3 linked regions of the Anolis sagrei genome follow. The protein of the gene in region 3 purifies or fractionates together with the protein of the main gene of each other region. This does not show direct contact. Links are inferred from orthologs where the notes say so. Each region holds a gene or a part of one and is shown on either strand. Other genes may lie near its edges. The genes, in order: PRDX2, PARK7 and PRDX5.

Evidence for each region.
Region 1: the proteins of PRDX5 (region 3) and PRDX2 fractionate together in Homo sapiens (co-fractionation; 3 studies listed by BioGRID). This does not show direct contact. The link is inferred for Anolis sagrei from reciprocal best matches to the Homo sapiens genes PRDX5 and PRDX2.
Region 2: the proteins of PRDX5 (region 3) and PARK7 fractionate together in Homo sapiens (co-fractionation; 3 studies listed by BioGRID). This does not show direct contact. The link is inferred for Anolis sagrei from reciprocal best matches to the Homo sapiens genes PRDX5 and PARK7.

Annotation. Positions count from the first base shown.
Region 1 is NC_090022.1:111,620,171-111,630,317, reverse strand, and holds the start of PRDX2 (peroxiredoxin-2), read right to left. Parts: upstream 4,280-10,147; 5' UTR 4,167-4,279; intron 1-4,166. Other genes in the region: RNASEH2A (ribonuclease H2 subunit A), read left to right, coding at 10,022-10,147.
Region 2 is NC_090033.1:20,478,444-20,488,847, reverse strand, and holds the start of PARK7 (Parkinson disease protein 7), read right to left. Parts: upstream 3,939-10,404; 5' UTR 3,861-3,938; coding exon 3,771-3,860; intron 1,725-3,770; coding exon 1,623-1,724; intron 1,354-1,622; coding exon 1,294-1,353; intron 1-1,293. Other genes in the region: TNFRSF9 (tumor necrosis factor receptor superfamily member 9), read left to right, coding at 4,144-4,222, 6,597-6,647, 6,766-6,897, 6,992-7,061, 8,110-8,216, 10,287-10,403. UniProt on the Homo sapiens protein: Multifunctional protein with controversial molecular function which plays an important role in cell protection against oxidative stress and cell death acting as oxidative stress sensor and redox-sensitive chaperone and protease.
Region 3 is NC_090032.1:16,793,027-16,802,745, reverse strand, and holds the start of PRDX5 (peroxiredoxin-5, mitochondrial), read right to left. Parts: upstream 4,860-9,719; 5' UTR 4,777-4,859; coding exon 4,636-4,776; intron 949-4,635; coding exon 814-948; intron 1-813. Other genes in the region: TRMT112 (multifunctional methyltransferase subunit TRM112-like protein), read left to right, coding at 7,695-7,775. UniProt on the Homo sapiens protein: Thiol-specific peroxidase that catalyzes the reduction of hydrogen peroxide and organic hydroperoxides to water and alcohols, respectively.

The sequences.
Region 1 (10,147 bases), on a different chromosome or scaffold from region 3:
TAAACCCCTGCTCCTTCCAATCAGCATGTAGGAACATGAAGAGGAAGATGAGATACTGAAAGCAACAGCAGCAAGAACTTACTCACACAACCACATCTTCCACAATACTGCCGTTTCTGGCTAACAGATGGCAGACAGGCACTAACTAACTCATTAATATAATAAGCAGTCCTCTCAAGCTATGCTTAAGACAAATGTAACTTGTTTTCTACAGACAGCACCACAGAACTCCTATTTCAACATAGAATAAATCCAAACTAGGCCCAAAGGACACAAGCATCAAGAGCAGACAAGTAACTTATTCTAATTCCTCCAGATCAAGATATTTCTCCACTGGAAAGTCTAATGTATTTATACCCTTAAAAGATTGGCCTTCAAAGTAGTTCACAACTCAAATTTAAGGATATATTTCCCTGGACATTTATGCCTTATTATTCACACTTTGCATTCTCCTCTCATTTCTCTTGGCATAACTTGCATGAGCAGAGATTTCTATATAGTTTAGCTCAAGCTGCTTGCAAAATTCTCCAAAGAATCGTGACTCATTCAGTATTTTGGCAACTTCAGAAAGAGGTCCAGCTCCGTTATGCATATTAAGCAACCCCAGCATCTATATTGGAAGCCCTATTGCTCCAAAGCAAATTATTCTGGAGTATGATGTTGAATGGGCATTAAATATTCCCCAGCCTTGCAAAAGGCCTACTTGTGGTGGAGACAGGAACCGCTAGGACTAGTTTGTTGACTTTTCACTTCACTCGTGTTGGGAAAAGATTTCCCACCGTGTTAGCAACTTGGGACAGAAGAAAAAGGAACATTATCACCACCAGGAATCGTTATGCTGGAAAGCGCTTTGAGAAACTGCACTGATGAGAAAGAACTAATAGACAAAGAGGGTGCCTTGACACTGTAAAATTAATGTAGTTTGATACCTATAGAATCCTAGAGTTGGAAGAGACCTCGTGGGCCATTCAGTCCAACCTCATTCTGCCAAGAAGCAGGAAAATTGCATTTAAAGCACCCCCAACAGATGGCCATTCAGCCTCTATTTAAAATCCTCCATAGAAAGAGCTTCTGCCACACTCCGGGGCAGAGTGTTCCACTGCTGAACAGCTCTCACAGTTAGAAGTTCTTGCTCATGTTCAGGTGGAATCTCCTTTCCTGTAATTTGAAGCCATTACTCCGCGTCCTAGTCTCCAAGGCAGCAGAAAACAAGCTTGCTACCTCCTCTCTATGACTTCCACTCACATATTTAGACATGGCAATCATATCTCCTCTCAGCCTTCTCTTCTGAAGGCTACACATGCCCAGCTCTTTAAACTGCTCCTCATAGGGCTTGTTCTCCACACCCTTGATCATTTTAGTCGCCCTCCTCTGGACACATTCCAGCTTGTCAACATCTCCTTCAATTGTAGTGCCCAGAATTGGACGCAGTATTCCAGATGTGGTGTGACCAAGGCAGAACAGAAGTGTAGCATGACTCCCCTGAATCTAGACACTAGACTCCTATTGATGCAGGCCTCTTTAACTGCAATTTATTTATTTATTTATTTATTTATTTATTTACCTTACTTATATACCGCAATGGCTCAATGCTATGGAGAGCTGTAGTTTCTCAAGGCTTTTAGCCTTCTCTGTCAAAAGTGCTGATGACTCAACAAACAACAAATCCCAGGGTTTTAGAGTACTGAGCCAGTTGTAGTGGTGTCAAACTGCATTAATTCTATAGTCTAGATACACCCAAAGTGACTTTGGTTGGGCATCCCAAAGTCAGAACTAGACCAACATCCAAGACTCTTTCTTCCACAATCCTCTCCTCTGTAGCAGGTGGTTTGGGTGCTGGACATGTGGCCCATAGTTTAGTCTTGTCTCAAAATATCCAACACATTTCAGAGCTAAAGTCTTTATCACAATACACTATTATAGCAGTATATTCAATTTTAACTACCAAGGTAACATCTCGAGGAAGTCTGGGGTTTATAGTTTAATGGGGTCCAATAACTTTCTGGGCTGTAAATGCCTACCAACTGCAAATCCTAGGATTCCACAAGATGCTGTCGCAGCAGTTAAATTAGTGCAACAACAGTGCAGTGTGCTATGAAACTAAGCTGTGGTGCAACCCTATCTAAGGCTTAAGTGCAACAACCTAGGCCTCATCAGTGAGTGGCAGGCCCCTGCTCTTTAAATCCCTTAAAGAGAAAGGTATTTTGACAGCCTTAGATAACAAACAAGTAATCTCAAGATGGGGAGAGGGGTGTTGCAAAAGCCTTTATCAGAGTCCTCCAGATCAAGGAGGAGGCTTTGCAGAGTAATCTAACAGCCCCTACCGGCTTAAATGGGTGAAGTCTGGAGGAAGACAAGGCAACGCCATTGTGTGCTTAATCCGATCTGCAGCTACTGGCACAGCCAGTGTGAACAAGGCAAGAAATGGGGAGATTTCACTGAATTGTGACTCTAGTTTTGAGCCTGAAGGATAAGGAGATAAAAAATCCAGGGGTGATTTTCTTATTTATTTATTTACAGTATTTATATACCACCTTTCTCACCCCTGGGGGGACTCAAAGCTGTAACAATGCATAACCTCATTCTACACCAGGCATGGGCAAACTCTGGTCCTCTGAGTATTTTGGACTACAACTCCCACCATTCCTAACAACCTACTTGCTGTTAAGAATTGTGGGAGTTGAAGTCCAAATACCTGGAGGGCCAAAGTTTGCCCATGCCTGTTCTACAGTTACATTAATATAAATTGGCCCCACTTTAAGTGCCATGGCTCAATATTACAGGAGTCGTGGTTTTACAAGGTCTTTATACTTCTCCTTGAAATAAACTATGATTCCATGGCATTGAGCCTTGGCAATTAAAGTGGTATTGAACTATATTAACGCCATGGTGTAGATGCAATCCCAGACATCAACCCACACTTGATGCCTTTGTCCAACTACTCCACCATCTAACCCAGGCATAGGCAAACTTTGGCCTTTTAGGTGTTTCTGACTTCAACTCCCACAATTCCTAGCAGCCTTGGGCCCCTTTTCTTTCCCCCCTCAGCTGCTTAAAGGAAAGGGCCCGATCTTCTGCTAGGAATTGTCGGAGTTGAAGTCCAAAACACCTGGAGGGCCCAAGTTTGCCCTTGCCCGATCTAACCCATTTGAGATAAAGAGTCCCAAAGGGGCCCCATTTCCATTCATCTCTTTCAATAGTACTTGAAAGTGTCCCTAACCCAACTGCACACCTGAAATTTTTGTTCTGCACTTTCAGTTAAAAAGAATGCAAGAATTCAATCATTCTCTCAAAGCTCTGTTTCAGGGCCTTTTCAATGAGCTTAAGAGCTTAGACACCTTGCCTGGAGCCCCAAGGGGAGTAGCTTATTCGTAGGAGCAGTATTCAATGAGGGATTCAGATTAGGAGTCCTTCTACACTAGATATGGGCAAACTTGGGCCCTCCAGGTGCTTTGGACTTCAACTCCCACAATTCCTAATAGGCTGTCCAAAACACCTGGAGGATCCAAGTTTGCCCATGTCTGATCTACACTGTGGAATAGATGCAGTTTGACTCAAAAGCTATAGGTGTTGCACTTTCACAAGGTCTGGCTGCATCACCAAAGCACAAATCCCAGGATTCCATAGCATGGAGTCTTGGCAGTCCAAAGGGTGATCAAACTGCATTAATTCGGCTGTGTGGATGCACCCTACAAGAGAGCTTTTGCACGTGCGGCCTGGGCGTTGGAGAGAAAGGAGCTATAAAAGGAGGACCCTTAGTAAGACAGCTTAGCAGCAAGGAGGCCTTCCCCGCCTCCTCCTCGAAACGAAAGGAGGGCTACAAAAGGAGCACCACCAGCCTCGCTTTTTTGCAAAAGGAGGGCCGCCTCCGAAAGCCCCCCCTCTTCCTCCTCCTCCTCTGTCTCCTCTTTGAGACAAAGGCGTACGAGGCCTGGCTGCCAGGAGGAGCAGCAGCAGCAGCCCATTCTGGCGTCACGCGCTGGAACTGAAAGGCCGGTCCACGCGGGAAACGAAGACCCAGCAAAGTCGGGAGAAGAAGGCGGATGGCAAAGGAAGGCCCTTCACAGGCCCACCGCCAGGCCTCTCGGAGGGGACGCCTCGCACCTCGGAACAATGTACCTGCAGCCAAGCCCCTGCACTGGAGCAACCGCCCATCCACGCCTTACCTCACTCAAGCCGACTTCAAAAGACACCCGGCGAACCTGGACCACTCCTGGCGCAGGAGGAGGCGGCGGCCCTTTTATAGCAAGCGGGATGGCAGGGGGTGGGCGGGGCTTGGGGCCGGTGGGCGGGGCCTGAGCCAGGCCCCTTCACGCGGCGCACGCGACCCAAGGGATGGGTTGGGATCCTTGGGGGACAAAGCCAGCAGCACCTGTGGAATTGCACCCAGGGTGCAGCACTGTAGCATGAATGCAATTTGTGCACCGCCAGGGCTCAATTCTATAGCATCCTGGGGACCCTTCCACACAGTGGAGAGCAAGGATTCCCCGAAATACAAGGGCAGAAGGCCACTATACACCAAAAAGTAATGCAGTTATATATAATCAGAATAATGTATATCATATCTATGCTTATAGTACTATAACATTAAATGTACTAGCATCTCGTACAAAGTATACTTCATGTAATTCTATAAACCAAAAAAATTCCTTATGTGGGATAAACAACTAATTCTTACAGCAAAATGAACAAGTTTGTAGGTTCTTTTTGAAACCAAAGTTTGTCAACAGCAAATCAAAGTTTATCAGTCCTTTTGAAAACCAAAAAGGACCTACAATACACTTCTCAATAACAAATCAAAGTTTGCAAGTCTTTTTTGCAAGTCTCTTAATCCAGAACTTCTTGATGTGAGTAAACAGCTGATTCCTACAGCAGAATGAACAAGTTTGTTAGTCCTTCTTTAACCAAAGTTTGTCAACAGCAAATCAAAGTTTATCAGTCCTTTTGGAATCCACAGTTTATAAACCACAACCGGTTTTGACTACGTGAAATCTTCGTCAGGTGATAGTTGATACACGTAGAAATCCACAAATAGTCAGTTTTACCAAGTGGAGAATTCTTCAAGTAGAGTCAGTATATTAATGTCAATAATGATGTGGTCCTAAAGTGAACAAATATGAGTGGCTAAAACACATAGTATACGAGAGCAATTACCAAATGTTGTGAAAGCATACAGAACAGGAACAAAAAATATTCACATAAGTTCTCCTACAAAAGTGCTCTGCTATTAATATGATTCTATGGCAAGCCCAGGAGAAACAGGTAGAAACTCCAGGATATATAGAGAAACTTAAAGTATATGAAGAGAAATTTAAAAGGGCCTGGTATAGCTATCAGTGTGGATGTATCCCAGTCATCAACAGTAAGTTACTCATAAGAAAAAACCTGTTTAAAGAGGCATGCACCGGTTCACATAAAACACTGAAATGAAATGGAATCGTTTAGTCCCTTAGGATGCACAGTTTTAAGAGTAAAAATCCAGAAGGCTTCACATTGTTGTAGTCTAGTAGATAAATCTGTGTTTGAGGAGGATGTAACCACCTCTAGAACTAGGACCTTGAACGATTCAGGACTATGGTTCATTACATTTGAATGTTTATATAGGCTTGAGATGCTGTGAGAGACATGCCCACAAGTTCTACTTTGGGCCCTTCCACACAGCCCTATATCCCATAATATCAAGGCAGGAAATCCCACAATATCTGCTTTGAACTGGGTTATCTGAGTCCACACTCAGATAACCCAGTTCAAATCAGATATTGTGGGGTTTCCTGCCTTGATATTATGGGATATAGGGCTGTTTGGAAGGGCCCTGGAATATGTCATTTTACAAGGTCTCTGCTAAAGAATGCTGGTACCTCACCAAGCTACAAATCCCAGAATTACATGGCATGGAGTCCTTGCAGTGAAAGTGGTGTCAAGCTGCATCCATTCAACAGGATAAAAGCACCCCTAAGGCCCTTTCACACAACCATATTACTAAGGACCCTTCCACACAGCCTATTATCCATGAATATCAAGGCAGAAAATCCCACATCTGCTTTGAACTGGAATATATGGCGGTGTGGATTCAGATAACCGAGTTGAAAGCAGATATTGTGAGATTTTCTGCCTTGATCTTCTGTTTTGTATGGCTATGTGAAAGAGCCCTAAGGCCTCTTCCACACAGCTGAAGAAAAACCCACACTATCTGCTTTGACCTGGGTTATATGGCAGTGTGGACTTGGAGCCCTTCCACACAGCCATATAACAAAGAATATAAAGTGTGACAGTGTGGACTCAGATAACCCAGTTCAAAGCAGATATTGGGGGATTTTCTGCCTTGATATTCTGGAATACAGGGCTATGTGGAAGGGCGCCCAGAATAACAAGGCAGAATAACCCACAATATCTGCTTTGAACGGGGTTATCTGAGAACCCTTCCAGACAGGCCCTCTATCCCAGGATCTGATCCCAGGTTTTCTGCATTAAACTGGATTATATGAGTCCCCACTGCCATATAATCTGGGATAAACAGAAAATTTAGGATAGGTCCTGGAATATAAGGCCTGTCTGGAAGGGCCCTGAGTCCATGCTGCCATATATCCCCGTTCAAAGCAGATAATGTGAGATTTTATTCAGCTGTGTGGAAGGGTTAGGTTAGTTTCTACTAACCCAAACTGTATTGCGATAATGAAAGGCATTCAACAGGTCAAACTCAGCATCACTTTACATGTCTAAGCTGAAGTGTTGGACTTTAGCCCATGATGCTAAATTTCCTTCTAGAAACAATGGCAGCCTCATCCATCACCTCTGGTTACGGATGCCTTGTACATCTTGACCCAAATGCTACTAGGTACTCTTTACAAAAGCCCCTTCCACACAGCTGTATAAAATCCACATTGAACTGAATTATATGGCAGTGTGGACTCAGATAGTCCAGTTCAAAGCAGATATTGTGGATCATCTGCCTTGATATTCTGGATTATATGGCTGTGTGGAAGGGCCCTAAGTATCTCTTGCCTAAGAAAACCCTGTGAAATCCATGGGGTCACCACAAGATGACAGTCATCTTTACGGTACTTCTACAAGGAACTCAGAACCATTGAATAATTAGTAGAGCAGTGAGTCAACTGACAGCCCTTCCACACAGAATATCGAGGCATATAATCTACAGTATCTGCATTGAATTGAGTTATATATCTGAGTCCACACTACCACATATCCCAGTTCAAAACAGAAAATGTGGGATTTTATTCAGCTGTGTGGAAGGGACCAGAGGAACCCCGCTGATTAAGGCCCCTTCTTCACTGCCATATAATCCAGATTATCAAAGCAGATAATCCACACTATCTGCTTTGAACTGCCATATAATCCAGTTCAAAGCAGTTAATCTGGATTATATGGCCGTGTAGAAGGGGCCTCAATGGATCTACACTTGTTGACACTAACAATAGCATTTAGGCGAATGTCTGCTCGGTATGCTCAGAAAACTTCATCAGCTGGATTTCGTTTGAACAAAAGTATAAGAGACTAGCCAGGAAAAACAAAGAAAGGAACCTTACACAGAGAGTCATTCATACCTCTGAAATTCCATGCATGCAAGAAATGTATGGGGGTAACACCTTTCTTGAGTTCTCTCCCATGGATTTGTTGTTGGTATGTGCCTTCAAGTTGAGCCTGACTTGTGACAACCCTAATATAGCATTTATGTGGCAAGATTTATTCAGTTGCTTTGTGAAAAATTACCGCCATCATTTTTATGTTGTGAATTTTAAAACAATGCTGTGGGTGCAGGGTAGGGTAGCAAAAGAAAAACATGCTTCAGTAGTTAATAATCTGCCTTGTATTGAGAAAATCTCAGTTCAGAGCATTTCTTGCCTCTAAAACCTAATAGGATCTCAGGGGAACAGGGCCAAAAAGAGCTTCTACCAGCCAGAGTAGGTTTCATGCTTGGTCTAACAGCTTCATAGCATCATCACAGATGAGACTTGTCAGAGACAACACAGATGAGGCATGTTATCTAGATCCAATTCAGTTTGGTTTCAGGCCCAGCTGTGGGAGAGAGATGGCTTTGATGCCTTGTTGGATTAATGTGATACATATGGGGGAGTGTGGTTTAGTTGGTACTGTTAAAACTCTTGGTTTGCAGTGCCATTGACTGTGTTGATCTCTATAAGGGCCTTCCACACAACCCTATATACCAGAATATCAAGGCAGAAAATCCCACAAGATCTGCTTTGAGTGTGGAAGCAGATATTGTAGGATTTCCTACTTTGATAATCTTGGTTATAGGGCTGTGTGGAAGGGCCCTGGGTTGAGTCTACACTGTCATATATTCCAGTTTAAAGCAAATAATGTGGGATCTGTCTATCTTCATGACCTTATCTTCCCCTACGAGCCCACGTGGTCTCTAAGGTCTTCTGGGGAGGCTCTTCTCTCACTCCCACCTCTGTCTCAGACATGGTTGGTGGGGATGAGAGAAAGGGCATTTTTGATGGTGGCCCCTCGTTTCTGGAATTCCCTCCCCAGGGGGATCAGGTTAGCACCCTCCCTATCCACATTTTGTAAGAAACTAAAAACACGGATGTTCCGTTGTGCATTCGATTGACAATCTCTTTGACAAATGATCCCTTTGACAGATGGCCTGAAAAGAAGTTCCTGTATTTGATTAATGTATTTTTAAGCTGAAATGATCCTATTACAACTGCTGTATTCCTATGCTGTGATATGTTCTATCCATCTTTTTGACCAGCCTATTCTCCAACTTCTTTGTACACCAGCTCCCCCCCCCCCCCCCCCCCCCCCGAGACTAGAAGTATTTCTGGTTGTTGCTTATGATGTCTGTTTATTATTGCTTACGATGTTCGTTGCACACGCTTTTAATTTTTATTTGCCTTGTTTTAATTGTATGTTTTTTGGGCTTGGGCCCATGTAAGGCGCCACGAGTCCCTTCGGGGAGATGGAGGTGGGGTAGAAAAATAAAGTTCTTCTTCTTCTGTGTGGAAGGGGCTTTAGTCAAAAGGGCAGGTCAGGTGATTGGGATTTGAATTGGGTCTATGGAATCGCATCATATTCCCCTTGGAAACTCAGCTTCAGTCTGACCCTGGTCTCATCTACACTGCCAGATAATCCAGGTGATCAAAGCAGAAAATGCACATTATCTAATTGGAACTGGATTATTTAGGCCCCTTCTACATAGGTGTATAAAATCCAGATCAGATAATGTGGATTTTCTGCTGTGATAATCTGGATTTTCTGGCAGTGTAGAAGGGGCCTTAGGGCCCTTCCACACAGCCATAAAACCCAGAATATCAAGGCAGAAAAATCCCACATTTTCTGCTTTGAACTGGAATATATGGCAGTGTGGACTCATAACCCAGTTCAAAGCAGATAGTGTGGGATTTTATTCAGCTGCGTGGAAGGGGCCTGTAACTCCATTTCAATAGTAGCCAGTGTTAGAAATGACCCCTCTGAGCCTATGATTAATAAAACTCTGGACAAGACATTTTTGGTGAAGTAGCAAATTTTGGCAACCTTCAATTCTTCCAGCATTAACAGCCTGCTTTTATCCAAATCTAATTTCTTCCTTTGCCTGACCTGCCTTTAGTTTCAATTATGATCCATTATTCTCTTTTCCTGTAGATTGTCTGTGTAATATCTGCGCCTCTTTATCTATAATTGGTCAGCTACTTCCTACTGTAGACAACCAGGCAGACTAAACCAGGCCTGGGCCAACTTGGGCCCTCCCTCCGGGTGCTTTGGACTTAGCTCCCAGTGTTCCTAACAGCTGGTAGGCTGTTACAAATTGTGGGAGTTGAAGTCCGAAACACCTGGAGGGAGGGCCCAAGTTTGCCTATGCCTGTTCTACAGGACCCGAACAGCATCTCTGCTTCTGCACTGGCTGGACCGCACTTAGGTGGCGCAGCATCTTTGCTCCACGAACTACGACTCCCAGAAGGCTGTGCGCTGCCTGCGCTCCTGCCTCTCCGTTTCCGGTGCAGGTTCCCCCTCGGCGTTTCCTTGGCGCGCGGCTCGGAAGATGGACCTGGGCGCCTTCGAGGAGGACAACGCGGTGAGCTGCCTGCTGGGCTCCTCTGCGCCCGCCGCCTGCCGCGCCCAGCCCTGCTGCCTGGGCATCGATGAGGCCGGGAGGGGGCCCGTGCTC
Region 2 (10,404 bases), on a different chromosome or scaffold from region 3:
TTTTCTTTTCCTCTTTCTCTTTCCTTCCTTCATCTGCTTTTAGCTTTCATCCGTCTGTCTTTCCTTCCCTCTCTCTTTCTTTCTTTGCTCCCTCTTTCCTTTCCTTTTTTCTTTCCTTCTCTACCCTTCTTTCCTTCCCTTTTCTTTTCCTCTTTCTCTTTCCTTCCTTCCTTTGCTTTTTGCTTCCATCCTTCCTTCTGTCTTTCCTTCCTTCTCTACTTCTTTCTCTATTTCCTTCTCTACTTCTTTCCTCCCTCCCTTTCTTTTCCTTTCTCTTTCCTTCTCTACCTCTTTCCTTTCTTCCTTCCATATTTCCTTCCCTCCTTCTTTCTCTCCTTCCTTCACTTCCTCTTTCCTTCATTTCTTTTTCTTTTCCTTCTCTTTCCTTTCTTCTCTGCCTCTTTCTTTCTTTCCCCCTTTTTCTTTTCCTTTCCCTTTCCTTCCTTCATTTGCTTTTAGCTTCCATCCTTCCTTCTGTCTTCCCTCCTTCTTTCTCTCCTTCCTTCACTTCCTCTTTCCTTCATTTCTTTTTTCTTTCCTTCTCTCCTTCCTTTCTTCTCTACCTCTTTCTTTCCTTCCCCCTTTTTCTTTTCCTCTTTCTCTTTCCTTCTCTGCCTCTTTCCTTCCTTCCTTTTTGCTTCCATCCTTCCGTCTTTCCTTCCCACTCTCTCTCTCTCTTTCTTTCTTTGCTCCCTCTTTCCTTTCCTTTTCCTCTTTCTCTCCTTTCTTCCTTCCTTTCTACCTCTTTCCTTCTTCCTTCCTTCTCTTATATACTAAAATAATAATAATAAATACAGCTCTATAATAATAAGATATGCCTGGATATGCCATCATACTAATATTAATATATTTAACATAATATTATTAGTAATAATAAATAATATAATATACCAAAATAATAATAAATACAGTACTATACTAATAAGATATGCCTGGATAAGCCATCATACTAATATTAATATAATTAATATTACTGATCATATTACGATATAGTGTTATGGTGCAATATAGCAATGTGTAATGCTGATATTGTACTGCGCTAATAATACAGGGTTAGTCAAAATGAATAGGCCAATATGTATGTTTACTGTAACCTACTGTGGCCTATTCAGTTTGACTAACCCTGTATAAGATATTGTATGTAATCTATACCTTGGAAGCCGCTCTGAGTCCCCTTCGGGGTGAGAAGGGCGGCATAGAAAGGTTGCAAATAAATAATAAACAAGAGGCTTCAACAAGACAATAATAATAATAATAACCTTTTTAATGTATTTCTCATTGGCCCCTGCTTACCTCTGAGAGGTTTTGGGCCCCCAGGTTTCCTCCCGGCAAGACCACCACGTCGTACGGCCCCTGAAGGAAAGGAGAGAAGAGAAGTCAGCGGGCAAGGCTTCCCGGGTTGGAAGAGACCCCCAAGGGCCATCCATTCTGACCCCCGACAGGTGGCCACCCGGCCTCTACTCTCTCCCAACACGGGGATTCTATGATAGACAAGTCATATAACAGAGCAGACCCCCTTCATATCTATGGCTGTTAGGAGGGTGCCTTTAAAGCAGAAGGGGAGGGCGGGGTGGCCCTCTTCGGGGTCTTTTTCGACTGGGTTGTTCCTTGGAAGGACCGACCTCTTTGCGGGCCTCGTCCAGGCTCTTGTCCGGACACAGGACCACGTCGCGGCTGCACTGGACGGGCTCCTTCCCCGCCAGGCCGGCCACGGTCACCGAGATCTGGGGGAGAAAGAAGAAAGACAGAGAGATGGGTGGATACTATACCTATTATATGTAAACACTGCTTATACACTTCATGTACTATATAGACATATATATATATTATTGTGTATTTGTTATGCTGTTGTTTTATTGAGGGCCTTGGCCTATGTAAGCCGCACCGAGTCCTTCGGGAGATGTTAGTGGGGTACAAATAAAGTTAATACTATGTATGATGGATCCGGAGGGACTCCCAAGGAATCTTGGGAGATCTGGACGGGGGGAGTGTGACCCTGTTGGTTCTCTTGGACATCTCAGCGGCTTTCGATACCATCGATCATGGTATCCTTCTGGGACGACTCTCTGGGATGGGTCTCGGGGGCACGGTTTTGTCGTGGCTTCGGTCCTTCCTGGAGGGTTGATCCCAGATAGTGAAGCTGGGAGATGCCTGCTCGGACCCCTGGCCTTTGACCTGTGGGGTCCCGCAAGGCTCCATTCTGTCTCCCATGCTCTTTAACAACTACATGAAACCACTGGGAGAGGTCATCCGGAGTTTTGGAGTTGGGTGCCACCTCTACGCAGATGACACTACGACTCTTTTCCACCTAATTCCAAGGAGGCCCCTTGAGTGCTGGACGAGTGCCTGACTGCTGTGACAGTCTGGATGAGGAGGAACAAGCTGAAGATCAATCCCGACAAGACAGAGGTCCTCCTGGTTGATCGCAAACCTGACCGGGGTATAGGGTGGCAACCTGTTCTGGACGGGGTTACACTCCCCCTGAAGCCACAGGTCTGCAGTTTGGGAGTCCTGTTGGATTCATCGCTTACGCTTGAGCTTCAGGTGTCAGCGGTGTCCGGGAGGGCTTTTGCACAATTGAGACTCATGCGCCAACTGCGACCATACCTCGCGAAGGTGGATCTGGCCGGAGTGGTCCATGCCTTGGTCACCTCCAGATTGGACTACTGCAATGCACTCTACGTGGGGCTGCCCTTGAAAACGGCTCGGAAATTCCAGATGGTCCAACAGGCAGCAGCCAGGATGCTAACTGGGACTCCTTACAGAGAGAGGTCAACTCTCCTGTTTAGGGAGCTCCACTGGCTGCCGTTTATTTTCCGGTCCCAATTTAAGGTGCAGGTGCTCACCTACAAAGCCCTGAACGGTTTGGGACCAGCCTACCTGTGTGACCGCATCTCAGTTTATGAACCCACGCGTTCACTTCGTTCATCCGGAGAGGCCCTGCTCGTGATTCCGCCTGCATCGCAGGCGCGTTTGGTGGGGACGCGAGACAGGGCCTTTTCCGTGGTGGCCCCCCGATTCTGGAACTCCCTCCGCAAAGATCTTAGACAGGCCCCTTCGCTGGCAGTCTTTAGGAAGAACTTGAAGACCTGGCTGTTCTGATGTGCCTTCCCCGAATAGGAAAACTCCAATACCAAGTCCCAGAAGTACTTTAGAAGAAACAAAGATTACTGCACATTGCACATTGCATTTGCCCTATAAGCCTTACAGACCACCTGTCACAGCAGCACTTTTAATCCTGTACCCATTACTCTGACCCGGCCCAGTCTTATTGTGTCTCGGTGTATTGTTTATTGCTTGTTGTTTAATATTTCTTTAACTGTTTTTGATTTGCTTTAGGTGTTGTATTGTGATGTTGTGTTTTGAGGCCTTGGCCTGTGTAAGCCGCATCGAGTCCTTCGGGAGATGCTAGCGGGGGACAAATAAAGTTATAATAATAATAATAATAATAATAATAACACTCTATATACACTATATTTGCACACACACAGGTCTCCAGCCTATACTTCTCTAGAGTTGGAAGAGACCCCCAAAGGGCATCTAGTCCCACCCCTTCGGCCAGGCAGGAGACGCACAGTCAGAGCCCTCCCAACAGATGGCCACCCTCCAACCTCCAAAAATAGATCTTCCCAAGGAAGCTTGGCTTCTTTCCCAGGCGCGCATGCGCAGTGGCCTGCGGCCCCCTCTCCCCTCGAGTTCCCCTGGGCGCGCATGCGCAGTGTGCTGCGGCCCTCTCTCGCTCTCCCTCCCTCCCTCCGAGGGGGCCTCACCCCTGCCCTGCGCATGAGGTCTGTGGGGATGACGGTCTCCATCTCCTCGGCGCCTTTGGCCAGGATCACCAGCGCCCGCTTCGAAGCCATGGCGGACCTTCCTGCCCGGATTGCCCCTCAGGCTCCGCTCAGGCCTGGCCTCTCAACTGCGCATGCGCACCTCCGCTGGCTCGGGAGTGGGCGGGGCCACAGAGAAAGGGGCGGGGATTTAGAGGCAGGCACGAAGCCACGCCTCCCCCGCGCGCGAGAGACAGCTGAAGGGGCGTGGCCTTGAAGTAGGGGCGGGGCTTCCTGGGAGAAGGACCTCCCCTTTAGCCCACGCGCGCCCCTTAAAGGGCCCCCGCCCGCGGAGTGGGTCCCACTCGGTTGGAAGATGATGCTGGGGAGGGAGGTGCGGCTTCTGCTGATGATGATGATGCTCCTGCGGGTGGGCGCCCTCCCCTGCCCGGAAGGTGAGTCCCTCCCTTTCTGCCCTCAACCAAGGCACCACTCGATCCCTCCCCGCAGATGGCCAGCCAGGCTCCCCTTCAAAGCCTCCAGGGAAGGAAGGAAGGAAGGCAGGAAGGAAGGAAGGGGGCGCACACAGAAGATAATAATTCTCCATACAGTTGGGCCCCTCAAAGCCCTTTAGTAATCATAATAATCATCATAATAATCATAATAGGAGGCACCATTAGATCCCTCCCGACAGATGGCCATCCAGACTCTACTCCAAAGCCTCCAGGGAAGGGGACACGTCCAGAGTATAATAATTCTCCATAGAGTTGGGGCCATAAAAGCCCTTTAGTAGTAGTAGTAGTAGTAATAATAATAATAATAATAATAATAATAATGGGAGGCACCATTCGATCTCTCCCGACAGATGGCCATCCAGGCTCTACTTCGAAGCCTCCAGGGAAGGAAGGGGGCGCACACAGAATACAATTCTACATAGAGTTGGGGCCCTAAAAGCCCTTTAGTAATAATAATAATAATAATCATCATAATAATCATAATAGTGGAAGGCACCATTCGATCTCTCCCGACAGATGGCCATCCAGACTCTATTTCAAAGACTTCAGGGAAGGGGACGCACCCAAAATATAATTCTACATAGAGTTGGGGCCCTAACAGCCATTTAATAATAATCATAATAATCATAATGATGGGAGGCACCATTCGATCCCTCCCGACAGATGACCATCCAACCCTCTGCTTAGAAACCTACAGAGAGGGGAATGCCAGCAAAGTATATTTCTCTCTTGTGTCCCTAAAAGGCATCTGTTCTTACCCATGTAAACCAGTCAGGGAGGGAGGCACCACTCAATCACTCCTGACAGATGGCCACCCAGCCTCTGCTGAATAAGAAGCACACCATTCGATCCCTCCCGACAGATGGCCATCCAAAAATCTGCTTAGAAACCTACAGAGAAAGGAATGCCAGCAAAGTACTGTGTCCCTAAAGGCCATCTGACCCATGTAAACTACTCAGGGAGGGAGGCACCACTCAATCACTCCTGACAGATGGCCACCCAGCCTCTGCTGAATAATAATAATAGTGATAATAGATAGTGTAATAGATGGTCTCTGCATAATAATAATAATAATAATAATAGAGAGATAGGATCTTAGAGTTGGAAGAGACCTCACAAAGAAGCACACCATCCGATCACTCCCAAACAGATGGCCATCCAGCCTCTCTTTGAAAAGTTTCCAGAGAATGGAACACCTCCAGAGTATGTTTCTCTGTAGAGTTAGAAGGCACCATTCGATCCCTCCCGACAGATGGCCATCCAGACTCAATTAAAAAAAACCCAGCAGAGGGGTCCCTAAAGGGCATCCAGCCTTACCCACCCGATCCCTCTCGACAGATGGCCATCCAGCCCATTATGTAAAAGCCTCCAGTGAAGAGGGTACCTCCAGAATATAGTTATCTCTAGAGTTGGAAGGGCTCCCTCAAGGCCATCTAGTCCCACCCCATTCTGCCCTAAAGGAAGGCACCATTCGATCCCTCCCGACAGATGGCCATCCAGCCTCTCCTTCAAAGCCTCCAGGGAAGGGGACACCTCCAGAGTATAGTTCTCTCTAGGGCTCCCTCAAGGCCATCTAGTCCCACCCCTTTCTGCCCTAAAGGAAGGCACCATTCGATCCCTCCTGACAGATGGCCATCCAGCCTCTCCTTCAAAGCCTCCAGGGAAGGGGACACCTCCAGAGTTTTTTTCTCTCCAGGGCTCCCTCAAGGCCATCTAGTCCCACCCCTTTCTGCCCTAAAGGAAGGCAGCATTCGATCCCTCCTGACAGATGGCCATCCAGCCTCTCCTTCAAAGCCTCCAGGGAAGGGGACACACCCAGAGTATATTTCTCTCCAGGGCTCCCTCAAGGCCATCTAGTCCCACCCCTTTCTGCCCTAAAGGAAGGTACCATTCGATCCCTCCCGACAGATGGCCATCCAGGCTCTACTTAAGGAACGCCAGCAGAGGCGACCCGAAGGGACATGGAGCCTTACCCATGTAAACAAGCCAGGGAGGCAGGGGCGGCGCAACCCTTACGCAAAGTAAGCAGTCGCGGTAGAGTTGATGTTGCCCAGGGGTGCAATAGACCTTGACGTATGCGAGTTGTAGTTACTGGGATGTATAGTTCACCTGCAATCACAGAGCATTCTGAACTCCACCAACGATGGAATTGAACCAAACAGGGCACACAGAACTCCCACGACGATGAACAGAAAATATATATCACTGATTGGTTGGGGGACTGAAAATTCCCTAGGGCCGCACCTGACCCCTCTCGACAGATGGCCATCCGGACTCTGCTTAGAACCCCTCACCTTCTTCTTTCCTGCCTTAGGCTCCTACCGTGACCCCCTCGAGGGCTGCCTCCCCTGTGACGTCTGTGACCGTGAGTCCTTCCTTGGGGTGTAAACAAAATCATTATGATTGATTGATTGATTGATTGATTGATTGGTGAGCCCCTCTGCATTTCCCCCCCTTCCTTCCTTCCTTCCTTCCTGCCTCAGAAGGGCGTTCCTACCTGCGTCCCTGTGGCCCCGAGGCCAACGCTGTCTGCAGATGCCCCCCGGGAAGAGAGTGCGGGGGCAACACCTGCGTCCGGTGCGACTGTCCAAACGGTCAGCAGCCCACCAAGAAAGGTCAGAGGTCAGTGGGGGGGGGGAGATGGGGATGGTGTCAGTGGGACCCCCCTTCCTTGCGTGACACCCCCTTCCTTGTTGCTTTCTCTGCCAGGCGGCTGCCAACGCTGCCCCAAAGGGGAGTTCAGCAACGGGACCTCAGGACCCTGCCGCCCCTGGAGCCGGTGAGTCCCACCAAGGCCTGCTCACACTGAGGGCTCTCTCAGACTGAGGACTTTCTCCTACTGAGGCCTACCTCACACTGAGGCCTACCTTACACTGAGGGCTCTCTCAGCCTGAGGGCTCTCTCCCACTGAGGGCTCTCTCCCACTGAGGTGTACTAACATTGAGACCTCTCTCCCACTGAGGGCTCTCTCCCACTGAGGTGAACTAACATTGAGACCTCTCTCCCACTGAGGGCTCTCTCCCACTGAGGTGAACTAACTTTGGGACCTCTCTCCTGCTGAGGGCTCTCTCCTACTGAGGTGAACTAACATTGAAACCTCTCTCCCGCTGAGGGCTCTCTCCCACTGAGGGCTCTCTCCCACTGAGGTGAACTAACATTGAGAACTGTCTCCCTCTGAGGGCTCTCTCCCACTGAGGGCTCTCTCCCACTGAGGCGTACTAACATTGAGACCTCTCTCCCACTGAGGGCTCGCTCTCACTGAGGGCTCTCTCCCACTGAGGCGTACTAACATTGAGACCTCTCTCCCACTGAGGGCTCTCTCCTACTGAGGAGTACTAAAATTGAGAACTGTCTCCCGCTGAGGGCTCTCTCCCACTGAGGGCTCTCTCCCACTGAGGTGAACTAACATTGAGGCCTTCTCATACTCAGGCCCTTCTCCCACAGAGACCTTCTCTCACACAGAGGTTTACCTCACACTCCTCAGGACAACACTAGATTTGGGGGGTTGATGTTGTCATTTGGGAGTTGTAGTTGCAAGGATTTATAGTTCACCTACAACCAAAGACCATTCTGGACCCCACCAACAATAGAATTGTAAGACGAGGCTTCTCTCACACAGAGGTTTACCTCACACTCCTCAGGACAACACTCGATTTGGCTCACTAACTCTAACAGTGCTTGACTCACACTTTTGTAATAAAAAAATACAAGCAGCCAAGTGGGCTAAGTGGCTGTGGACCTGTGTGTCGTTGTTGTCGTGCCCCCCTGGTAGTCATGGTTGTGCCCCCCCCGCCCCCCGCTAAATCCTGTCTGCTCCTCCTCCGCAGGTGCCCCCCCGGCCTGCGGATCCAGACGCCTGGGACCGAGGAGAGCGACGTGGTTTGCCAGCCGGAGCTGGGGGCCCCCACCCAGCCTGACCCAAGGAGCCCCTCCAGTAAGAGAATGGGAGGGGTCCCCTGCCCCATAGACAGAGAAGGAGGGAGGGAGGAGAGGGGGGAAAGAACGAGGGAGGGGCGGAGGACCCCCCAGAATCTTCCCGTCCAATCCCTTGAGACAGGCACTCGTCCAGTCGTGCCCATCTCCGTTTCAAAGCTGAAGAGCCAGCGTTGTCCGTAGACACCTCTAAGGTCATGTGGCCACTGGCATGACTGCATGGAGCACCGTTACCTTCCCGCCGGAGCAGTACCTATGGATCTACTCACATTTGCATGTTTTCGAACTGCTAGGTTGGCAGGAGCTGGGGCTGACAGCGGAAGCTCATCCCCCCCCCCCCCGGATTTGAACCTGTGACCTTTCAGTAAACAAGCTCAGCAGCTCAGTGCTTTGACCCACCGCTACTGGGGGATCCCCAATAAATGAGACAGAGAGATACATAGAGAGAGAGATGATTGATTGATGATACATCCAGACAGACAGACAGATAGATAATAGATAGAGACAGATTAATAGATAAATGATACGTATAGAGAGATGATAGATAGATAGAGACAGACAGATTAATAGATAAATGATAAATAGAGATAAATAGAGAGATGATAGACAGATAGATAGCTGATGCATAGAGACAGACTGATTGATTAATAGGTAGGTGATAAATAGAGATAGATAGACAGATGATTGATAAATGATATAAAGAGACAGGCAGATAGATAGATGATACATAGAGACAGATAGATTAATAGATAGATGATGATAGATAGATCGATAGATAGATAGAGACAGATTGATTAATAGGTAGGTGATACATAAAGATAGATAGACAGATGATTGATAGATGATACATTCAAACAGACAGACAGACAGATAGATAGATAGATAGATGGAGACAGACAGATTAATTGATAAATGATACATAGAAATAAACAGAGAGATTATAGATAGATGATTCATAGAGATAAATAGGCAGATGATTAATAGATAGATAGATAGATAGATAGATAGATAGAGACAGATTAATAGATAAATGATACATAGAGAATAGATAGATAGATGATTGATACATGATACACTGAGACACACAGATAGATAGATAGATAGATAGATAGATAGATAGATGATGCATAGAGATAAATAGACAGATGATTGATAGATGATCTAAAGAGACCGATAGATAGCTGATACATAGAGACAGACAGATTGATAGATAAATAGATCCATAGAGATAGAGAGATGATTAATTGATTGATAGATCATACATAGAGATAGATAGATAGATAGATAGATAGATAGATAGATAGATAGATAGATGATGCATAGAGATAAATAGACAGATGATTGATAGATGATCTAAAGAGACCGATAGATAGCTGATACATAGAGACAGACAGATTGATAGATAAATAGATCCATAGAGATGGTACATAGAGACAGATAGATTGATAGCTGATGCATAGAGACAGATTGATAGATTAATGATACTTAGAGATAAATAGAGAGATGATTAATTGATTGATAGATCGTACATAGAGATAGATAGATAGATAGATAGATAGATAGATAGATAGATAGATAGATAGATAGATAGATAGATAGGTAGGTAGGTAGGTAGGTAGGTAGGTAGATAGATAGATAGATAGATAGATAGATAGATAGATAGATAGATAGATGATACATAGAGACAGACTGATTAATAGGTAGATGATAGATAGATAGATCAATAGATAAATGATACATAGAAGTAAATAGATAGGCAGATGATTGATCGATGAGACACAGAGACAGACAGACAGACAGACAGAGAGATGTAAGCAGGAGAGAGAGAGAGATGACAGGAGCCTAGAACCCTGGAGTTGGAAGGGTTCCAAGGGTCATCTAGTCCACCGAGAGCTGTGGTTCTCAACCTTTCTCAACCTTGGGAGTTGTAGTTGGTGGGATTTATAGCATTCTGAACTCCACCAGCAGGCCCAAGTGACCCCTTTGTTGACCTTTGTGGCTTGTTTGGGGTCCTTGGGGGAGTGACCGTGACCGCCCCCCGCTTCTCCTCCCCCTCCCCTCCCCCCCCCAGGACCCTCCCTGGTGGTGCTGGCCGTGGCCTGTCCTGCCGCCGCCCTGCTGACCTGCCTGCTGCTGGTGCTGCTGCTCTTCCGCCGCTGGCTCCGGGTTCAAGGGAAGGCCCAGCAAGG
Region 3 (9,719 bases):
TCCATTATTTTACTCTATTATTATTTTTACTAGCCGACCCCTGCCACGCGTTGCTGTGGCCCACATGGGGGTTCTGTGTGGGAGGTTTGACCCAATTAGGTTCTTGTGGGTTTTTTCGGGCTATAGGGCCATGTTCTAGAGGCATTTCTCCTGACGTTTCGCCTGCATCTATGGCAAGCATCCTCAGAGGTAGTGAGGTCTGTTGGAATTAGGACAATGGGTTTATATATCTGTGGAATGACTGGGGTGGGGCAAAGAGCTCTTCTCTGCTGGAGTTAGGTGTGAATGTTTCAACTGACCACCTTCATTAGAATTTGAAGGCCTGTCTGAGCCTGGGAAAATCCCCTGTTGAGAGGTGTTAAGATGTGCCTGGCTGTTTCCTCTCTGCTGTTTTGCTGTTGTAATTTTAGAGTTTTTTAATACTGGTAGCCAGATTTTGTTCATTTTCATGGTCTCTTCCTTTCTGTTGAAATTGCCCACATGCTTGTGGATTTTCCCAGGCTCAGACAGGCCTTCAAATGCTAATGAAGGTGGTCAGTTGAAACATTCACACCTAGCTCCAGCAGAGAAGAGCTCTGCTGATATTGTACTATCCTAATAACATAATATATTGTATGTATGTGTGTGTGTGTGTATATATATATATATATATCTTGAAGCCACTCTGAGTCCCCTTTGGGGTGAGAAGGGCGACATATAAATACCATAAATAAATAAATAATATGTCCCATAACCGTGTTAGATGTGGGATTCTGGAAAAGTAAGACTATATATTCAGCGTCTATAAGGAGAAATACACCGAGTCCTACTCACTTTTGAACATCCTGGAGTGAATGCACCGGGGACGCCAAAGAGGATGCCCTTCTTTCCCTTGAAAAGGCTGGCAATGTTCACTTTGGCGCCAGGGTCACCCTCATAGACTTCCACGCTGGGCAATTTGTCTCCAACCTGTCCAAATGAGGAGACAAAAGATTCAGGGCTGGGTCCATTTCAGCGACTTGGCAACAAGGCAAGGAAAAGGACATTTGTCCAAAAGAGAGAAGTACTAGGCTTTCTAGATATTCTTCTTTGTTTACTTTACTTAGGCGATCCCTCATTGTTCGAGCATGATGGCCTTCCAAGTGTACTGTCTTGGTGGTGGATCCATAGGGGACTGTGGAGCTCCCGCAGTGAGGACATCACTTTCCAGTTGGAAGACGGTCCTCATCATGGTTGGCTTGATGCACCTTCCTCTTGGCACGTTTCTCCCATTTATTTATTTATTTCGAGTATTTCTACCCCGCCCTTCTCAACCCCCAGGGGGGGAGGGGGGACTCAGGGCGGATTACAACCTGCACAATTCGATGCCACATTCAACAAAGTAAAAATATAACAATTATAAACAGTTAAAACATTCAAGTAATACAATAACAACTAAAAAGAATAACCAATCTAGTGGCCAACGTTCACCGAGTTCTAAAATCCGTAAGTCCATTCAGCATTATCCTTTCCAAACTCTGGTCGTCATTGCCTTGTCGGTCTGGCATATTACCCAAAGGCCTGGTCCCATATCCATGTTTTCAACTTCCTTCTGAAGGAGAGGAGGGATGTCGATGACCTAATTTCCCCCGGGGAGTGAATTCCACAGGCGAGGGGCCACCACCGAGAAGGTCCTGTCCCCCGTCCCCACCAGTCTCACTTGTGGTAAAGGACTTAGGCTTGGGCAATCCATGGTTCTAAATGGTTCTAAAGTACTTACAAAACTAAAGTTCTGGTGGTGAAAATTTCAGAACTCTAACAAAACTCTCAAAATTTCATAATAAATGGCAGTTCCTAATTGGTTCTGTCATTAAAATCACCAATAATGAAATAATAATTAAATTTTGAAAGTTTTGTTAGAGTTCTGAAATTTTCACTACCAGAACTTTAGTTTTGTAAGTACTTTAGAACCATTTAGAACCATGCATTGCCCAAGCCTAAAGGTGGGACCGAGAGCAGGGCCTCCCCAGAAGATCTTAAACTCCAAGATGGGACATAGAAGGAGATACATTCGGACAGGTACGCTTTTGCCCTCCATTTGTGCCTCTTCAAATTCCTCAGCACTGCTGGTCACAGCTGACCTCCAGCTGGAGCTCTCAAGGGCCAGGGCTTCCCAGTTCTCAGTGTCTATGCCAGAGTTTTTAAGGTTGGCTTTGAGCCCATCTTTATTTATTTATTTAGAAGTTTTCTATACTGGCCTTCTCACCTCGACGAGGGACTCAGGTCGGTTTACAGCATATATAAAATACAATCATATAAAGAACAACAAGTGCAAAGTCATTACATATTAAAATAGTACAATACAGTACAATAAAACATCATCATCACAATTACCTAAGCCAAATCGTCAATCCAGTCATGGTCATAGTCATACTTGTAGTCACAGTTCATCATAATTCATCACAGGGGGAGGTTCTAGATTCAGTCCTCAAATGCCACATTCCAAATGTCTTTAGTAATTTCCTGAATGTCAGGAGGGAGGGAGCAGATCTGATCTCTAGTGGGAGGGAGTTCCAAAGCCGGGGAGCCACCACCGAGAAGGCCCTGTCCCTTGTCCCCACCAACCGTGATTGCGAGGGTGGTGGGACCGAGAGCAGGCCCCCCCTGGAAGATCTTAATAGCCTTGATGGTTCATAGGGGAGAATCCGTTCGGACAGGTAAACTGGGCCAGAGTCGTTTAGGGCTTTATAGGTCAGAACCAGCACTTTGAATTGTGCACAGAAGCTGATCGGCAGCCAGTGGAGCTGGCGTAACAGAGGGGTCGTATGGTCTCTGTACCCCGCTCCTGTTAGCAATCTGGCTGCCGCACGTTGGACTGATTGACGCTTCCAGGCAGTCTTCAGAGGCAACCCCACGTAGAGAGCATTGCAGTAGTCTAAACGCGATGTAACCAGAGCGTGGACTACTTTAAATCTCTTTTCGTAGGATAATCCTCCAGGGTGGGTCCGTAGGTGGCAATGGAGCCCTATTCTTGACCTGCATCTTCTCCTGCAGCGAGGGCATTGGTTTCCAGGTGAAAAGCGGTCCCAGTTGGGGTTGGCTTGACGCGTCTTCCTCTTGGCATGTTTATTTCTTCCTCCATTCATGCCTCTTCAAATTCTGCAGCACTACTGGTCACAACTGACCTCCAGCTGGAGTGCTCAAGGGCCAGAGTTTTTAAAGAAAAAGGAATGTTGGTGGGAAGGAAAAGAGATTGAAAGATGGGATCAAAGCCAACCTTAAAAACTCTGGCATTGACCCTGAGAACTGGGAAGCCAGAGTTTTTAAGGTTGGCTTTGATCCCATCTTTCAATCTCTTTTCCTTTCCACCCACATTCCGTTTTCCATTCTTGAGATCGGAGTAGAGCAACTGCTTTGTGAGACGGTGGTCGGGCATCCGGACAACGTGGCCAGCCCAGCGGAGTTGATGGCGGAGGACCATTGCTTCAATGCCGGTGGTCTTTGCTTCTTCCAGCATGCTGACATTTCCCCGCTTGTCTTCCCAAGAGATTTGCAGGATTTTCCGGAGGCAGCGCTCATGGAATCGTTCCAGGAGTTGCATGTGACGTCTGTAAACAGTCCTTGTCCTGCAGGCATATTTGAAGCCATAGTTCCGCGTCCTAGTCTTCAAGGAAACAGAAAACAAGTTCTCCCCCTCCTCCCTCTCACATATTTATCCCTGGCCTTCTTCATGTCTTCTCAGGCTATTTAAGCCGCTCCTCATAGGGCTTGTTCTCCAGATCCCTCCTTTTTACTCCACATTTTCGCTTATCCAACGTTCTGCTCTTGGCCCGTTTATGCTGGAGAAGAGACTACTGTACATAATCCCATACAGAAAGGCTTCTCTTCTTCTCGGGCTCTTTAAGCCGCTCCTCATAGGGCTTGTTCTCCAGATCCCTCCTTTTTAGTCCACATTTTCGCTTATTTTCGTTGATGTTGGAGAAGAGACTACTGTACATAATCACATACAGAATGGCTTCTCTTCTTCTCAGGCTCTTTAAGCCGCTCCTCATAGGGCTTGTTCTCCAGATCCCTCCTTTTTAGTCCACATTTTCGCTTATTTTCGTTGATGTTGGAGAAGAGACTACTGTACATAATCCCATACAGAAAGGCTTCTCTTCTTCTCGGGCTCTTTAAGCCGCTCCTCATAGGGCTTGTTCTCCAGATCCCTCCTTTTTAGTCCACATTTTCGCTTATTTTCGTTGATGTTGGAGAAGAGACTACTGTACATAATCCCATACAGAAAGGCTTCTCTTCTTCTCGGGCTCTTTAAGCCGCTCCTCATAGGGCTTGTTCTCCAGATTCCTCCTTTTTAGTCCACATTTTCGCTTATTTTCGTTGATGTTGGAGAAGAGACTACTGTACATAATCACATGCAGAAACTACAATGCACAATAGACATAAATACACACACACAAAATATGGTATTCCAGCCCTTAAGAGGAATGCCTCACACACAGTCAATGCAACTCGAGAAGGGCCTGAGTGAGGCCTAGGCCTGGAATGCCTCCTGAGGAGGCATTCCAGGCCTAGGCCTCACTCAGGCCCTTCTCGAGCCTTTGCCAACTCTAATGACGGCTCCCGGAGGGGCCAAACCGCGTTAACTCTCCGGTGTGGACCCGCCCCGAGGCGACTGACCTTGAGGGCGGCCATGGCTGCTGCTCCGGTCCCGAAATACCGGCCCTTCTGCGCTCCACGGATGCCGAGGAGTGGGGCCTGCACCAAAACAGCCCTGCCTGCCAAAGCCAGCACCCCCGCCCCTCGCCACCCCGTTGCCATGGAAATCGCAGGAGTGACGGCTGCTGCCCTGGCAACCCCGGGCCTGCCTCCCAAGTCTCCCTCTCCCCTCCGGAGGGCGGGTAGTCAGGGGGCGGGGCCAACGCAAGGGGCGGGGCCTGGGGTGGCTCATCTGCATCTCATTTGCATGAAGTACAACCACGTGGAAATGAACACAATCTGCCGACCAGTATTAAAAACCAACCTCTAAAATCAGCATGGTAAATAAAGAACAACGCTCAGAAAAACAGGAAATAATCAGGGCCAGCTAACCTCCCCTGAAAGGATCCTCCCCCCAGGCAGGAAGCAGCCGGGCTTTGAAGCTGCAAGGCTATTCAATGCTAAGGCTTTAAAGCTGTAAGGGTATTCAATGCTAAGGATTCCCCCCAGGCAGGAAGCAGCCAAGCTTTGAAGCTGCAAGGCTATTCAATGCTAAGGCTTTAAAGCTGTATGGGTATTTAATGCTAAAGATTCCCCCAGGCAGGAAGCAGCCAGGCTTTGAAGCTGCAAGGCTATTCAATGCTAAGGCTTTAAAGCTGTAAGGCTATCCAATGCTAAGGATTCCCACATTCAGGAAGCAGCCAGGCTTTGAAGCTGCAAGGCTATTCAATGCTAAGGATTTCCCTCCAGGCAGGAAGCAGCTAGGCTTTGAAGCTGAAAAACTATTCAATCCTAAGGCTTTAAAGCTGTAAGGCTATTCAATGCTAAGGATTCCCCCATTCAGGAAGCATCCAGGCTTTGAAGCTGCAAGGGTATTCAATACTAAAGATTCTCCCCAGGCAGGAAGCAGCCAGGCTTTGAAGCTGCAAGGCTATTCAATGCTAAGGATTCCCCCAGACAAGAGATAGCCAGGCTTTGAAGCTGCAAGGCTATTCAACGCTAAGGATTCTACACGCAGGAAGCAGCCAGGTTTTGAAGCTGCAAAGCTATTCAATGCTAAGGCTTTAAAGCTGTAAGGCTATTCAATGCTAAGGATTCATCCAGTCAGGAAGCAGCCAGGGTTTCAAGCTGTAAGGGTATTCAATGCTAAGGATTCCCCCCAGGCAAGAAGCAGCCAGGTTTTGATGCTGCAAGTCTATTCAATGCTAAGTTTCCCCCATTCAGGAAACAGCCAGGTTTTGAAGCTGCAAGGCTATTCAATGCTAAGGATTCCCCCAGGCAGGAAGCAGACAGGCTTTGAAGCTGCAAGGCTATTCAATGCTAAGGATTCCCCCAGGCAAGTGTCAGACAGGCTTTGAAGCTGCAAGGCTATTCAATGCTAAGGATTCCCCCAGGCAGGAAGCAGCCAGGTTTTGAAGCTGCAAGGCTATTCAATGCTGTAAGGCATTCAATAGCTGTACGGCTATTCAATGCTAAGGATTCCCCTCCCCAGACAGGAGACAGCCAAGCTTTGAAGCCACAAGGCTATTCGATGCTAAGGATCCCCCCCCCAGACAGGAGACAGCCAGGCTTTGAAGCTGCAAGACTATTGAATGCTAAGGATTCCCCTCCGCAGACAGGAGACAGCCAGTTTTTGAAGCTGCAAGGCTTTTCAATCCTAAGGATTCCCCCCCCCAGACAGGAGACAGCCAGGCTTTGAAGCTGCAAGGGTATTCAATGCTAAGGATTCCCCCAGGCTGGAAGAAGCCAGGCTTTGAAGCTGCAAGGCTATTCAATGCTAAGGATTTCCACCCAGGCTTTGAAGCTGCAAGGCTATTCAATGCTAAGGATTTCCCCCCAGGCTTTGAAGCTGCAAGGCTATTCAATGCTAAGGATTTCCACCCAGGCTTTGAAGCTGCAAGGCTATTCAATGCTAAGGATTTCCCCCCAGGCTTTGAAACTGCAAGGCTATTCAATGCTAAGGATTTCCACCCAGGCTTTGAAGCTGCAAGGCTATTTAATGCTAAGGATTTCCACCCAGGCTTTGAAGCTGCAAGGCTATTCAATGCTAAGGATTTCCCCCCAGGCTTTGAAGCTGCAAGGCTATTCAATGCTAAGGATTTCCACCCAGGCTTTGAAGCTGCAAGGCTATTCAGTGCTAAGGATTTCCACCCAGGCTTTGAAGCTGCAAGGCTATTCAATGCTAAGGATTTCCACCCAGGCTTTGAAGCTAAAAGGCTATTCAATACTAAAGATTCCCCCAGGCAGGAAGCAGCCAAGCTTTGAAGCTGCAAGGCTTTGAAGCTGCAAGGAAATATTAGGGTTAGATATGAGAATAATATCATAATAATCGGTTCAGGGAAGTATAGTATAATAATAATAATACTCAAGAATCAATCAAAAATTAGTTCAAAAAGATATAATAATACTCGAGGCATTGGTTCAAGAAGATATAATAATATTGTAATAGTATAATGCTCTAGAAATGGTTCAAGAAGATCTAATTCCTGACACGAAACAATCGGGGCCAGCTAAAACCTCCCAACAAAGGATTCCCCCAGGCAGCAACCAGCCAGGCTTTGAAGCTGCAAGGCCATTCAATGCTAATCAAAGTGGCCAATTGCAACATTCCCACTTGCCTCAAGCAGACAAGAGTTCTTTCTCCCACCCTGGGCATTATTCTACTAAAACAAACAAACAAATAATCATAAATAATTATTATTTTATTGAAACATTTCGTTGATATTATATTTTATATATAGAACATTGTATATGTTATATTAACATTGCATTTTAATATTATATTTATTTATATATTTTATTTCATTTATTTAAATATTTAAATAGTGGGGATGTTGGTTTAAATGAAATATTACAACCCGGAACGGTGTCGCATTTAGATCTGGTTTCCCGTACATTCGATATTAGCGTTGCACTAACTCACCGGAAGTGTGTCGAAATTAGCCGCCGGAAGTGAGAGGAAAAAGGGGGCGTTAGAGCGGTGGAGTGGCGGCACGCATGCGCAGACGGTTTCCCGGCCCGGCCACCGGCGTCGTGCGAGGATGAAGCTTTTGACGCACAACATGCTGACTTCTCACGTGCGGGGCGTGAAGCCCGGCGGCGGCTTCCCTCTTCGCATTCAGGTGAGGGCGGGGCGTTCCCAGGCCACGCCCCCTTGATTAGCATTGAATGGCCTTGTACCTTCAAAGCCTGGTTTCTTCCTGCCTGAAGAAGTCCTTTGTTGGGATGTGTTAACAGGAATAAGCCAGGCTTTGAAGCCGCAAGGCTGAAATAATCTTCAAATCTATGGGGAATTTGGGGCAAATCCTACGCTGTGTTGCTGTGAGGATTTCCAGGTTGCCTGGCCATGTTCCAGAAGCATTCTCTCCTGATGTTTCGCCCACATCTATGACAGGCATCCTCAGAGGTTGTGAGGTTTGTTGGAAACTAGGACAATGGGGTTGATATATCTGTGGTGGGAGAAAGAACTCTTGTCTGTTGGAGGCAAGTGTGGATGCTGTAATTCGCCATCTTGATTATAGCAAAGAATGGCCTTGTATCTTCAAAGCCTAGCTGCTTCCTGCCTGAGGAAGTCCTTTGTTGGGATGTGTTAACAGGAAGAAGCCAGGCTTTGAAGCTGCGAGGCCATTTATTGCTAATCAAGGTGGCCAATTGCAGCATCCGCACTTGCCTCCAACAGACAAGAGTTCTTTCTCCCACCCTGGACATTATTCCCCCAGGCAGAAACCAGCCAGTCTGTGAAGCTGCGAGGCCATTCAGTGCTTATCAAGGTGGCCAATTGCCGCATCCGCACTTGCCTCCAACAGACAAGAGTTCTTTCTCCCACCCTGGACATTATTTCCCCGGGCAGAAACCAGCCAAGTTTTTAAGCTGCAAGGCCATTCAGTGCTAATCAAGGTGGCCAATTGCAGCATCCACACTTGCCTCCAACAGACAAGAGTTCTTTGAAGGTCCAAGGTGAGAGAAAGAACTCGGTGATAGTATGATAGGTGTGTACGGAAGCTCCGAGCGTTACGGAGATGCCGCAAACGCGGCTGGGAAAAGCGAAGAGAGGGAGCGGAGGGAGAGCGGGGAGAGCAAAGGAAGGATAGAAAGGAGGGGATGCTTGGGGTAAGGGTTAGGGCAGGGTTAGGGGTTAGGGTTAGGGGTTTCAAACTGCCAACCTAGCAGTTTATATAATATTATATTAAGGGCCGCTCAGTGGCACAGCGGGTTAAACCGCTGAACTTGCTGACCGAAAGGTCGGCGGTTCAAATCCAGGGAGTGGCGTGAGCGTCCGCTATTAGCAGTTCGAAAAGCATGCAAATGTGAGTAGATCAATAGATCTGGTGAGAAGGTAACGGCGTTCCATGCAGTCATGCTGGCCACCTGACCTAGGAGGACAACGCCAGCTCTTCGGCTTAGAAATGGAGATGAGCAGCAACCCCCAGAGTCGGACATGACTAGGTTTAATGTCAAGGAGAAATCTTTACCTTTACCTTTTACGGTTAGGGTTAGGGTAAGGTTTAGGGTTTGGGTTAGCGTAAGGTTTAGGGTTTGGGTAAGGGTTTGGGTAAGGGGTTAGGGTTACGATTCTGGTATGGTTCAGGATTAGGGTAAGGGTTAGGGTTTCACAATTAAAGAACTCTGGCATTCCTTCTATATTATCTATCTCCGGCCTGGCTTACATTAGCTAATAATAATAATAATAATAATAATAATAATAACAACATTATTATTATTATTATTATTAATTACATTAGCTAATAATAGTAATAATAATTACATTAGCTAATAATAGTAATAACATTAATAATAATAATTATTACATTAGCTAATAATAATAATAATAATAATAACTGCAAAAGGCCACCTGACTTGGATCTGTGCGCATCATTCGAAAATACATCATACAGTCCTAGACGCTTGGGAAGTGTTTGACTTGTGATTTTGTGATACGAAACCCAGCATAGAGATCTCGTTTGCTGTGACATACTGTGCTTTTGTGACAGTAAAATAATAATAATAATAATAACAATAATAATAATAATACATCACACAGTCCTAGACGCTTGGGAAAGGTTCGA